Schizosaccharomyces pombe: one gene and its partners. Changing the gene in region 3 together with the main gene of any one other region gives a genetic interaction. Each region holds a gene or a part of one and is shown on either strand. Other genes may lie near its edges.

Evidence for each region.
Region 1: mutations in gcn5 (region 3) and nto1 impair growth when combined (synthetic growth defect), as found in Schizosaccharomyces pombe (4 studies listed by BioGRID, with this or other methods).
Region 2: mutations in gcn5 (region 3) and swd2 together harm fitness more than expected from each alone (negative genetic interaction), as found in Schizosaccharomyces pombe (2 studies listed by BioGRID).

Annotation. Positions count from the first base shown.
Region 1 is NC_003423.3:3,309,888-3,314,483, reverse strand, and holds nto1 (histone acetyltransferase complex subunit Nto1), read left to right. Parts: upstream 1-1,574; 5' UTR 1,575-1,603; coding exon 1,604-3,907; 3' UTR 3,908-4,049; downstream 4,050-4,596. Other genes in the region: tif301 (translation initiation factor eIF3a), read right to left, coding at 1-62, 108-146; carboxymuconolactone decarboxylase-like protein, Pxp2, read left to right, coding at 4,290-4,499, 4,596-4,596. UniProt on the Schizosaccharomyces pombe protein: Component of the mst2 complex which is a highly specific H3 lysine 14 (H3K14) acetyltransferase that functions together with gcn5 to regulate global levels of H3K14 acetylation (H3K14ac), critical for DNA damage checkpoint activation.
Region 2 is NC_003423.3:1,781,398-1,785,076, reverse strand, and holds swd2 (Set1C complex subunit Swd2.1), read left to right. Parts: upstream 1-1,857; 5' UTR 1,858-1,920; coding exon 1,921-2,096; intron 2,097-2,156; coding exon 2,157-2,421; intron 2,422-2,469; coding exon 2,470-3,102; 3' UTR 3,103-3,132; downstream 3,133-3,679. Other genes in the region: ubiquitin hydrolase Ubp4, read left to right, coding at 1-858; wbp4 (WW domain-binding protein 4), read right to left, coding at 1,071-1,691, 1,765-1,818; SPOM_SPBC18H10.05 (WD repeat-containing protein), read right to left, coding at 3,303-3,679. UniProt on the Schizosaccharomyces pombe protein: The Set1 complex specifically methylates 'Lys-4' of histone H3.
Region 3 is NC_003424.3:4,971,839-4,976,209, forward strand, and holds gcn5 (SAGA complex histone acetyltransferase catalytic subunit Gcn5), read left to right. Parts: upstream 1-1,785; 5' UTR 1,786-2,277; coding exon 2,278-3,642; 3' UTR 3,643-3,860; downstream 3,861-4,371. Other genes in the region: OUT family ubiquitin-specific cysteine protease Otu2, read left to right, coding at 1-299; SPOM_SPAC1952.04C (uncharacterized protein), read right to left, coding at 588-824, 1,014-1,084, 1,179-1,192, 1,406-1,497; SPOM_SPAC1952.06C (uncharacterized protein), read right to left, coding at 3,908-4,371.

The DNA of each region.
Region 1 (4,596 bases), on a different chromosome or scaffold from region 3:
GTCTCATGAAGAGATTGCAGTGCTGAGCTGTGCTGATCTAGAGCTATCAGCTCATCGGCAAGCTAATTTATGTTAGTCAAAGTAAGTAAAAAACTCATAATACATACCCTTAGCACATTTTCGGGCTTTCCTTGAGGAGGTGCCATGTTGTGCAGTTGAAAACTTCCCCCTTGTCGTAGTAAAATTTTATTACACGAATAGCGAGCTACCTCGCAGTTTTATATAAGCCACTAAACAAGAGGTACTTAATTCTTGATTTTGCAAAAAAAAATGTTAGCACATGCATATATATATAGTTAGTTGTTCATATCTTTCTTAGGTTTGACTTGAATAAGCATCACTTTTTGTGCAAAGAAATTAGTGGTTTACCGAATACGATAATATGACTAAATTTGAATAGATCGCCTAGTGTGAAGTGCTAACATACTCGTTAATCTATCATGTTTGTTTAAAAAATACCAGTTCAGTTTAGAACAGAGGAAAGCTCTATTTTTGCTTTTATTTGAACGTTTATGGGATAGTAGTCAGATTTTTCTGTTGCCGCTACTAATTACTATCGTTACACAATGTACATCCAAGAAATATTAGTACCGTTATAGTTTTGGAATTTTAGCCGTAGATCTGTTTCTACGCTAATCACCAAGTCCATTCTTTGTTTGATGTATTTGGTGATAAAACTAGTTAGTTCTTAAAATAATCTTTATTGCCGTTGAGTCGATACTCGCTTGAGTTCCTCATCAGGGCTTATGCATTGTTTTATACTTGTAGCATTGTCTAAACTCTTATTTACAATTGGCAACAAACTTATATAAACGTTGAGACCTTACCAGTGAAAGAAGTGTGGTTTGAGCGAAATATTTTCCGAGCCAATCTAAAATTTAAAGTGTTATCCTTGAAAAGTAGCAGAAACTCGCATTACTTTTACTCAAAGCTTGAATAAAGGAAGAAAGATTTAGCGAATATAGTTTGTCAAAGTATTATAATAAAGAGGTCATAACCCTATGTATTCCGAAAGATTTTTTTGTTAAAAAACGCTAAGTCCTCAATCTCTTCGACGCTAGGTAAACTCTAGAGGCCCATTTTGATGAAGCAATTTAATTGTGATTGGTGTAAATGTTAGACTTCTAGAAGAATAAACTAAGTGAAGTATTCGTTGATGGCGGGTACAAAAATATTAGCTTATAAACTATTCACAAAGATTCTTGAAAGGGCTTTTTATCAAGCATCTCGAAAATCTTTGTACTTTCACATCAACTGTATATAATTGTAACTCTTACATTTCCGTAAAATGCAAAATCACGCTTTCCAATTTCCTCTGGTTTTCTTTGAAAACAACACCAATAAATATAAAAAGAGAAAGAACGGGAAGAATAAATTTACCCCTTCCTATGTCCAAACTATTTTCATTTCAGAGTTCAACTGTTTACAATCATCTTTTTATTTCGGTCATTCACGTTACCCCCGCTTATTCTGCTTAATCATCAGCGGCAGAATGCACTATTGAAGTTTAAGCAAAATTGCACCTTTTTCTCGTAAATATAGTTACACCATGAAAGAAATGTAAAAAAGATAGTATGGTAAATCTATCTTGTAAAAGGCTTTCATGCAAACCTTCCGACTTACTTCTACTGGTCGAAATATTCTAAGACCCGATGAACTTGCTTTTCAGCCGAGAGAAGAGATTCCCTATAAATCTTTCCATCCAGACCTACAAATAGACGAACCTTTGGAAATATTAGAAGGTGACCATACACAATATGCAGGCCTTCGTGATTCTTTAGTAACCTATAAATCCGAGAATTCTTATGTGCTTAAAGCTTTGCTCAATGCCAAGATCGAAAACGTAAAGCCAGTAGGTGTTCAAACGGAAAATATTAATCCACAAGAGAAAAAATTTGGATATAAAACTGCGAAACAATTAGATTGGAGTCCAGACGAATATTTCAAGTTCGTTGCTATACATCCTTACTCAAAAACGTCCTTTCCTGTATCCTACGACTTGGATGAGTTAGACACAATGTGGTTAACATATTATAATGAGTTTCAACTTTCATCTAATTCAGAGTGGGAAAATGTTTCTAAAGAATTTTTAGAAATAGTTCTTACCATTATTGAACGCGAATGGCTTTATCTAGAGGCTTGGATGCCTAAGATTGAACCCGTCAGAGTGGAGGATGAACTAGATGGTCGTTGTGTTATTTGTAATGAAGCAGAATGCGAAAACAGTAATGCTATAGTTTTTTGCGATAACTGTAACACTTCTGTTCACCAGAATTGTTATGGAATCCCTTTTGTTCCAGAGGGTCAATGGTTTTGTAAGAAATGTTTACTAGCCCCTCATGAAGTTATATGCTGTGCTTTTTGTCCTGACAGAGATGGTGCGTTTTGCACAACCTTGGATGGACGTTGGTGCCACACAATTTGCGCCATAGCAATCCCTGAAATATCTTTTCACGACACTAGTAGATTAGACTTGGTTCGAAACATTGCTTCAATCCCAAAGTCTCGCTGGAAATTGGTGTGTTGCATTTGTAAACTTCGATGGGGTACTTGTGTGCAATGCTCAGATAAAAATTGTTATGCAGCTTACCATATAACTTGTGCTCGACGTGCAGGTTTTTTTTACAAAATATACTCACATTCTGCAAGTTATGATAGTGTTGATATGGAAACTTATTGTGATAAACATACTCCACCCGATTATTTAAACGGATTGATGAAGCGCTTGTTTCCGTTAGCTGAATTATATTACAAACGCATGGCTACAGACGTTCCACTCAACTTCCAAGCTACTAAAGCGCCTGATTTTGTGCCCGAAGGGCCATGGAAATCGCATCCATTACCGGCTTTTATTGTTGATAAAGTTACCAAAGTTTTATTGTCTTATAATGTTAAAAGGCAAGATCTGCCCTCCATAGTAACTGACATCTGCAAATTTTATCACATGAAACGCCGATCCCGAAAGGATGCGCCATTGCTTAAATCGCAACTCCTTATGGATAGTCTTGAAAATCTCCCGGTGAGGGCTTCTAAAGATCGCGTTAGGTCTTTAGAAGTAGCGAAGGCTCTACAAGATCAATATCAATCATTGCTTACTCTTGTAGAATCTACTGCTAAACGGCAATTATTAAAATGTCAATTATCAAACTTAAGAAAAAAATTTTTGAATTTAAACTATTTTCCTGCTCAACGGTTATTACAGGATACCCTTGTTAAAATTATAGATCTCGATGTCGATGGTCTTTTCAATATGCCGCTCGATAATGGATGGATTGGGTGGGTTGAATTAAAAAGACAAGTATTCAGTTATCAGATCGGCAGTATTAGCTCTCTAGAAAAGAAACTTGAGCCTATTTGGGATGTTGATGGTGTAATACAGTGTATTGATGATATGGAACAATTAACTGCCATGGTTCAGTTTGCACAAAAAACAGAAGGAGAAGTGAAAAAACTATTTATTAAGGCAAAAATATACTTTGAAAGTTTGAGTCTTGATGAAAGAGGGAATCTCAAAGTACCCTCTCTCGGTATTAACGGACTTGAGTATGATAACTGGCCCGGTTTAAACGAGCTTGAAATGAGTCAACTGGATATTCCTTCACAGGGAAATCTTAAGTCCTTACATGATTTTATTGAGGGTTTAGATTTGAATGAAAAAATAGGGAAATTTCCCATTTCTATGTTCCAAAATCAGGTTGCTCAGTTTTCGACAATTGAAATTCCTAAGATGTCTGGACGTGCTAACGGAATGCATAACTTCCATTCAGAAGATGTTACAGGACAAAGCAATCATGCTTTACCAAACAGTGTAACTAAAAAAAATGGCACCAAGCAACCATATACCAAAAATTCGCTTCCCTTTAATGAACGCATCACAAGATCTAAAGCCAAGAAAAACTATTCATGATACTGAAATTATTGTTAAGTTAGTTCATCGTTGCTTTAGTACCTATGACCAATTATTGATATCGAAACTTTATAATATCTAAAACCGTTAATTGTACATTTTAGTTCCGAATAGTTAATTTATTAATATTTTTCAAAAGCAATTTTTCTTAAATTTTCACGCAGTGAAATAGTCATCAAATACACTCACGCTCGTACCCAACAAAGATATTGCTAGACTAGCTTAGTGTGTAGTCTATTAGTAATCATTCTCGGTTTATATATAATCTGCTGCTCCTTTAAAGCGTTTCTATTTGGTATTTCTACTAAGTTACCGACTGTACTAACATATTACGTTACACACACTATCAGTCGTTGTTACATTATTAATCAAGAGTTAACAAATGACCCATAACACTATGCTTCAAAGATTTAATGGTTTATTAGAGCCTACACATTTGTATATTGTATCTGTTGTAGCTTATTCAGCTTGCAACCGACCGGATAAAATAAGTGGGATAGCTAAGGAAGCAATGGAGCATGTGGGACCAAGTATTTATCCAAAATTAAGAGAAGCATTAGTAAAATCATCTCCATTAGTTGGATTTCCTAGAGTATGATTATAATGATCATGTTTTCTTCGATTTCACTTCAGGTGATGCGAAGATAATAGTATTTTAGCAGCCAAACTGTAACTAACAAATTAATAGA
Region 2 (3,679 bases), on a different chromosome or scaffold from region 3:
TTGAATAGAGATTTCTCCATCGATGGCCAATGCGATGCTCAAGAATTTTTAAATTTCTTTCTTGATAAACTTCATGAAGATTTGAACTCCAATGCATCTCGGTCTCCGATAGCACCGTTGACGGAAGATCAATTAAGTGCCAGAGAAGAACTCCCATTGTCCCACTTTTCACACATTGAATGGAACTTGCATCTCCGGTCTAACAAGAGTATTGTGGTCAACAATTTTGTAGGTCAACTTTGCAGTCGTACTCAATGTATGACATGTGGCCGCACATCTACTACTTTTGCTCCCTTCACATCGCTTGCGATACCGATTGACGATGTCTCCCATGTAGTAAGCCTACAAGAATGCTTATTAAAATTTTCAGCTCCTGAACTCTTGCAAGGGCATGATGGATGGCATTGTCCCGTGTGCAAGGTTCAAAGGTCGGCAAAAAAAGTAATTATGATTTCGAAACTACCTGAATATTTGATCATACAAATTCAGAGATTTAAAATATCCGTAATGGGTCGTAAAAAAATTGATACACCACTTGGATTGAGCTTACAGATTCCAAGTAAAATGCTGGTACCACCGAGTTTCCAATCGGGAATTGGTTATATTCCTAGCAATTATAACCTGTTTGCATTTATCTGTCATTATGGCCAGCTCGAAAATGGACATTATATATCTGATGTACTTTTTAATAATGAATGGTGCCATATTGATGACTCAATTGTTCGAACAGTGGGCGGTATTACTGACTTGAGAGAAGATTTCTCCTCTTCCTACATTCTTTTTTATAAACGCTCAAGTCTGTTGGAGGAGTTTGAAGATAAGTGTCCCAAAATGACTTTGAAAAGAAATGTTAAATAAAACAAAATAAAAAAAGGAAAAATGTTTTCAATAAACCTCAAATATAGTTATTGAATAAATGTTCAACTTAGCATTCATAACCGATATGAATACTTACTTAATGCTGATTACCCAACACAAAAGCTACTCTCGTTATGTTGAACAGAATGCAGGAATTGGATACAAAATTTTTTCATCCTAGAATTTTTTTTAAACAAAGATGGTTTTTTTCTTCAAGATTGATCATATTCTTTTAAGGAAGATTTTGTTCTTAACTTTCCAGACTTTTTCTTTTTAAACACCACTTTGTTTTCATTTGATTCCTTGCTTTCTAGCGATTTGTTTCCCTCGTTTTCAGCTAACTTAGGTACTTTATCTAAGTTTTTTGGTTTTACCCGAAAATGAAATGAAGATCTTTCTTCTTTTTCGATGATCTCTCTGTTTCTTTTCAAAGAGGTCCCTGGTAGAGACTCATTTTTATTAGTAGTTGTTTCCTTGGTTTCTTCATTTTCTTCTTGCTTTGCTAGCAATGTAGGAATATAGCTGGTATGAGTAGTAGAGATGGTGTCAGTCTCCGTAGAACTTGTAGGAATATCCCAATCATCCAAAGTAGCTTTTTTTTTAGAGGGACGTAATTTTGGATGCTCCTTTTTTGGTTTCTCATACGATGCTAGTTCAGATGACACCGCTGAAGCAGTGGTAGCAGTAGCTGATTTTGGTATAGATAAATTCTTCTCAAGTTCCTGCCTTAAAAGGTTGGAACGATGAATATCATCCATTACTTTTTTAATAGCATCCTGATGTTTATAAGTTTGCTCATGGCTCCGTCGCGCAAATGGTGTATCTTTCACGAACTGTACTGTTAGTAGGATTCTATTAATTTCACCACTTTAGAAATAATTTTTGGATGTTATAGAAAAAACTTACTATTTGGCAATATTTACAATAATATTTTGGAATACTTTTCCAGTAATCAGCCATTCTGAATATTAATAGGAGATACGCACTAAATACATACTTAAAACTTATTTACCCATATATTTTTCTCAGGAAACCCACCTTTTAGCATACCGTTATTTAGTAATGACAACAGTTTCAATTACTTTTGACTTGTTGTCGTCTATGCAACCAAGAAAATGGCTGAAAAATCAGAATTTTGTTGGTGAAATTACCTCTCTCAGTTTTGACGACAGTGGAGAGTTGTGCTTGGCGTCGTGTACTGATGATACTTTACAACTGTATAACTGCATTTCTGGAAAGTAAGTACTTCTTAAATTCACTTTTGAAACCTGTTTGGCTAACTGACCATGAACTTCTAGATTTGTGAAATCACTTGCAAGCAAAAAGTACGGAGCACATTTAGGTCGGTTTACTCATCATTCAAATTCATTAATACATGCTTCCACAAAGGAAGACAATACCGTTCGTTATTTAGACGTTGTGACAAATCGGTATCTTCGATATTTTCCTGGCCATAAGCAAACAGTGACTTCAATCGATGTATCACCAGCAGATGAAACTTTTTTAAGCGCTTCTTTAGATAATACTATTCGCCTTTGGGACCTTCGGTCTCCAAATTGCCAGGTATGAGTATAACAATTACTGATAATCAAACTAACTAGGAATACGTAGGGTTTGCTCAATGTTAGTTCACCCGTTGTTGCAGCTTTTGATGCTACAGGACTAATCTTTGCCTCAGTTAGTGAAAGAAAATACAAAATTTCTCTTTATAACATTAAATCATTTGATGCTCGCCCATTTCAAGACATTCCTTTAACATTCCTGCCCCCTCATGTCCGCATTGCAAATGTGGAATTCAGTACTGATGGTAAATATCTATTGCTAACAACTGGAAATGATTTTCATTACGTTATAGACGCTTATAGTGGAAGTGAATTATTAAGAGTTCCTTCAAAGGTTAGCACAAAAACCCAAGATGGAAATTTGACTTATTATGCTTCAGCTTGCATGTCTCCAGATAGTAAATTTCTTTTTACTTCATATGATAATGAGCATCTTTGCATGTATCAACTACCAGAACTGAAACAAACTGTTAACTCGGATCACATTGTTAATTCATTCACCGAAATGGGCCTAGCATCAACTACTCCGACCAGCAATAGTCATTCAACAGAGAACCCGCTAGCTATCATTCCTTCTTCAACATCTAAAAACCTTTTACCAGAAACACCTTCTATTGTTCGCTTTAATCCACGCTTCTCTCAATTAGTTACAGCACATTCTGGAGTAATTTTCTGGACGTAAAATTGTTTTTGTGTCTTAACAAACCACGAAAAAATGAATATTATATTATACTATTATTAAAAACAATTTCATAAAAAAACTTCATAACTATTATTTAAAAGGGGGAAAAAATGAGTCCTCTATTTTAAATGACACCTGAATGACTTAGAAGACTTAAACAAAATAAAAAAAGGTAAAGTAATATTAGTTTTGAATCGAGATTAGGTTCGTAATAAACGCTTCACAAAGTGTCCAAATTTTGAGTTTCTAAATCCATGATGGGAATTCCCCAAATCATAATCAACACACAAGACAATAGTCATACCTGCCATGTTGGTAGCAATTATTATATCAATCGGATGTACAGGAGGTGTTCCATATGATCTGTGACTATGAGGTTTTACTAGATTGTATCCTTCTGCAATTAAACTGCGATCATGTTCCGACTCTTTAGCTTCGACAGCAGTCCTTGCTGGTGCAATGATGGTCGAAGTCAGTCTCTCACTACAAACCTTGAATGTTTCCGTGGGCAAATGGAGAATGACAGAGCGTTTTCTTGATGCATTGATGAGTACCTTGTTGGGAATATGCCATAAAA
Region 3 (4,371 bases):
TATTAAAGCACTGCGAACAGTTTGAAGGCTTTTTGCTAGACGAAGAATCTGGAGAAGTTTTGCCAGTATCCGATTATTGTAACGAAATTCGAAACAATAGCAAATGGGGAAGTGATATTGAAATACAGGCATTAGCAAACTCTCTTGAGGTTCCTGTTCATGTCTACAACACAGAAGGTCCAGTTTTAAAGTTTAACCCCTCAACGGTCAAGTTCGAAAAACCGTTGTGTATAGCATATTACCAGCATTTGTTTGGGCTTGGCGCTCACTATAATAGTTTATTATATCGGGACAATTAAAAAGATCTAATGAGATGCTTTAGATAGGTTTTTATCCTTTGGTTTATTAGCTTCCTTCCTCGCCGGAAACCATTTAAAAAGGCTGTGCCTTACGAGTTAGATTATATGAATAATATTTATGAATTAAAACTCTTCTGTATTCTATTAATCAAAAAAAAAAATTAGCCATTATTATCTATCATATCCAGTCATATAGTATGCACAATAAATATTACCAAACATGCTTAGAAAGCTTCATCAGGGAAGCATTAGAAACGGTAGAACAATAAATAGAATTAAGGTAGAACATTACTTGTAGCTGTAAGGGGGTGGTGCCTCATCACTTTTTCTTGGAGGCGGTATATGTGGTTGAGGACGAACGTTAGGAATATCGGTTTGTTGCGAACTTGAGCCAGGAAAAAATGCATGCTGTTGAGCACTCGCCTCAGGTCTTTCGGGAGTAGGAAGATCTTCACGCCTGCGCCTTTGATCAATCATGGCCGAATCTACTGGTTCATACCACCCACAATGAGAACAACGAAGTACCTGCTCTGAGTTAGCAAGTGAGTGCTTATTAGTTGGACAGCAAAATAATCCCAACTTTCCCTGGAAAGCATGTAACATTGAAGATTGAAGAATGGCTTAGAAAATAACAAACAAGGTCTGTCAGGTTTCCAAACAATGATAAGTAGAAAGGGTCAACTACATAACATATGCTTTCTTGAATTCCCTTACCTTACTCGTATAAACCGGGAGAACAGGCAAAACGATGAGTGCTAAAGATTTAACCAAACGATATACCCGAACTAAAAACCAAAGTTTTACGTTAACATTAATAAAACAACCCAAAGAAAGAGCAATTGCCTTCATGCAACTACACCACTTATATGTGTCTCATACCAGTTTTATTTTGGCTAAAAAGAAAGTATTAGCAAAAAGTGCTGATGAAAAGAATAGAAGGAAAACAAGAAGACTGCTAGAAACTATTTTTAAATGACAAATTTTAATAAAAAACAAGTGCGTAATTTCTGAAAACAAAATGTTTCTACAATTGTTCCATTTCCACTTCGCCATTTAAACAATGTACTCAATCCACTTGTTTTAACACTAATTCATTGATTTCATACCATACAGGACATGTCAGTAAGACGTGCTTATATTTGCTATTGACTTTCCATATGTCTTGAACATTCAGCGGTATCGGCAAGAAGAGGAACATCTCACGTTAAGAGTCTTAAAATCTTCTTTAAAAAAAAAGAAAAGAAGTTGGATATTATAATGAATAATTCGAGTTAAATCCAAAATATTCGTTTTAGCAGAGTCACTCCATTAGTACGTAGACTAAGCCTCACAGTTAGTGTAATATCACAGAAAATATTTTCGTTAGCTTTATCGCTAAATACATAAAAGAATATCATCACAAAAAGAGGTATTGCTAACGAACTACGGTGCGTCTCTATATTTAGAAGCAACACCAATAACTTCAAAAAATGAAAGCAGAAAATTCGTAGAGAAGAAATTTTCTAATCTTGCATCCCAAGTCAAATCATGTATTTGTGTCTTTAATTAGTAAATATTAGGATAATCGTTGATTTGAAGTATTAAAAAATTGATTGTATTTTGGAGCGCAAATCTGAGATTTTTTTTATAGATTAAAAAATTCTCCTTGATACGGTCATTTTCGGTTGACTTGTGTTCAAACTCTTTCTATAAAAAGAGGTTCTTTTTCTAAGAGAATCCCTGCCGAGTTTCCTTAAGTTTTAGAAAGGTAAAGGGCTGGTCGACGTCTTTTCACATTGTTGGTGCCAAAAACAAAATTTTCGAGACAAATAACTGGGTTCGTGGTGTATATTTTAACAAATTATCGTTTATTTTAATTTTCTGTATTTCGTTATTATATACCGTTTTTTCGTGCTCGTTTCATCTTGTATCGTTCTTGACAATTTCTGTATCTTCACTTTTTGGATTTATTTGTTTGGATGCGTGGCATAGAATAATCATGTCGAATTCGTTAAATGATCAAACACGACCACCCGATTCAAGTGTTGTAGACAGTACATCTTCCAACTTTCCAAATGCGTCAAACGATAGTGTACATGATAAACCGGTAAAACAGGACGAACAATCCAATCCAAATGTTCGCGAAGCAATTGCTAATTCCGATGGACAAGAATCTTTAGCTGTAAAGGAAAACAAGGATACGGAAAGCTCATCCTCTCATTTCGTACCTAACGGAGTTTCAAATTCTAAAAAGAGAAAGCTCGTGGCTACAGATTTAGATGTTGATTTTGATATTAGTAGTGTACGAGTTACTGAAAAGCCATCTGTATTAGAAGAAAAAAGCGGCGTTATTCAATTTCGTGTTGTTTCTAACGACGACACCGCCGACAGTATGATCATGTTGACTGGTTTAAAAAACATATTTATGAAACAACTTCCTAAAATGCCAAAAGAATACATTACGCGGCTAATTTATGATCGAAACCATCTTTCAATGACCATTGTCAAAGATAATTTACATGTAGTGGGCGGTATTACTTATCGTCCATTTGAACAACGAGGATTTGCCGAAATTGTATTTTGTGCGATTGCTTCCAATGAACAGGTTCGTGGTTATGGTTCTCATTTAATGAATCATTTAAAGGATTATGTCCGTGGAACTACTACAATTCAGCACTTCTTGACATATGCAGATAACTATGCAATCGGGTATTTTAAAAAACAAGGATTTACTAAGGAAATTACTCTTGACAAGTCTATATGGGTTGGCTATATTAAGGATTACGAAGGTGGCACACTTATGCAATGCACCATGATTCCAAAAATAAAGTATTTAGAAGCTAATCTGATTTTGGCTATTCAGAAAGCTGCTGTTGTTTCCAAAATTAACAGGATCACTCGGTCGAACGTTGTTTATCCTGGTTTAGACGTATTCAAAGATGGTCCAGCTCATATAGAGCCGTCTCAAGTTCCTGGGTTGATGGAAGTTGGATGGTGCAAGGAAATGGAAGAGCTCTCCAAAAAGCCCAGACCTAAACCTTTTTTTGCCGTTTTGGAAATGCTTTTTACAGAAATGCAAAATCATCCGTCTTCCTGGCCCTTTATGCAACCGGTTAGTAAAGAGGATGTACCCGATTATTACGAAGTTATTGAACACCCCATGGACCTTTCGACTATGGAATTTCGGTTGCGTAACAACCAGTATGAGTCTGTAGAGGAATTTATTCGGGATGCAAAATATATATTTGATAATTGCCGTTCTTACAATGACTCCAACACGACTTACTATAAAAATGCCGATAGATTGGAAAAGTTTTTCCAGAAAAAACTTCGTGAAACTGAGTATTCACACTTAGCCGATTAATCATTTACATTTATTATCATCGAAACGTCTATTCCGAAGTTTTATTGATTATAACATATACATTTCACCTTTTAATTTTTTACACGAATATCTTTTGTGCCTTCCAAATATGCTGGCATATCAAGAACTGCTAGTGTTTAATTTTTAGTTTTTTTGTTTAAAAATATATATAATTCTATAATACCAAACACTCTTTATGTTCCATAATAACAAATGTACAACTCATTAAATTGAAAATATGTTATCAGAACAAGTCATGATTTTATTACACAGATGCTTGCATAGATCCAAGTAAAACAGTAACCATAGGTTTTTCGTCAATTCTGTAGTAAGAGTCGTTGGCCTCCACCTCTTCGGACTCCACCGTCGGTTCTTCAAGGTTTTCATGATAATTTTTTAGAGCATCAGTCAACTCATCAATTGGAATGGATGCTTCGGAAAACAGCATCTTAATTTTTTTCAATGTCACTGTATTTTCAACGCATAACCACGAAAGGATAAGAACTGTAGATTGGAAAGGAAACAGTCCATGATCAATTTGTTGGAGAAACCATTTGGTACTCTTTTCCTCCGAATCAGGACTAAAATCAAGTTTTCTGCTTTGGTCAATACCTTTGAGTTGGATTCTCAAGCGATCGTAAATTTTGAAAAGGCGTTTCATTTTTTCAAAGTCATTTTCAATGAATTTCCGTAAAAAGCGCACCCTTTCTACGGTGTCAGCAGGTAAAG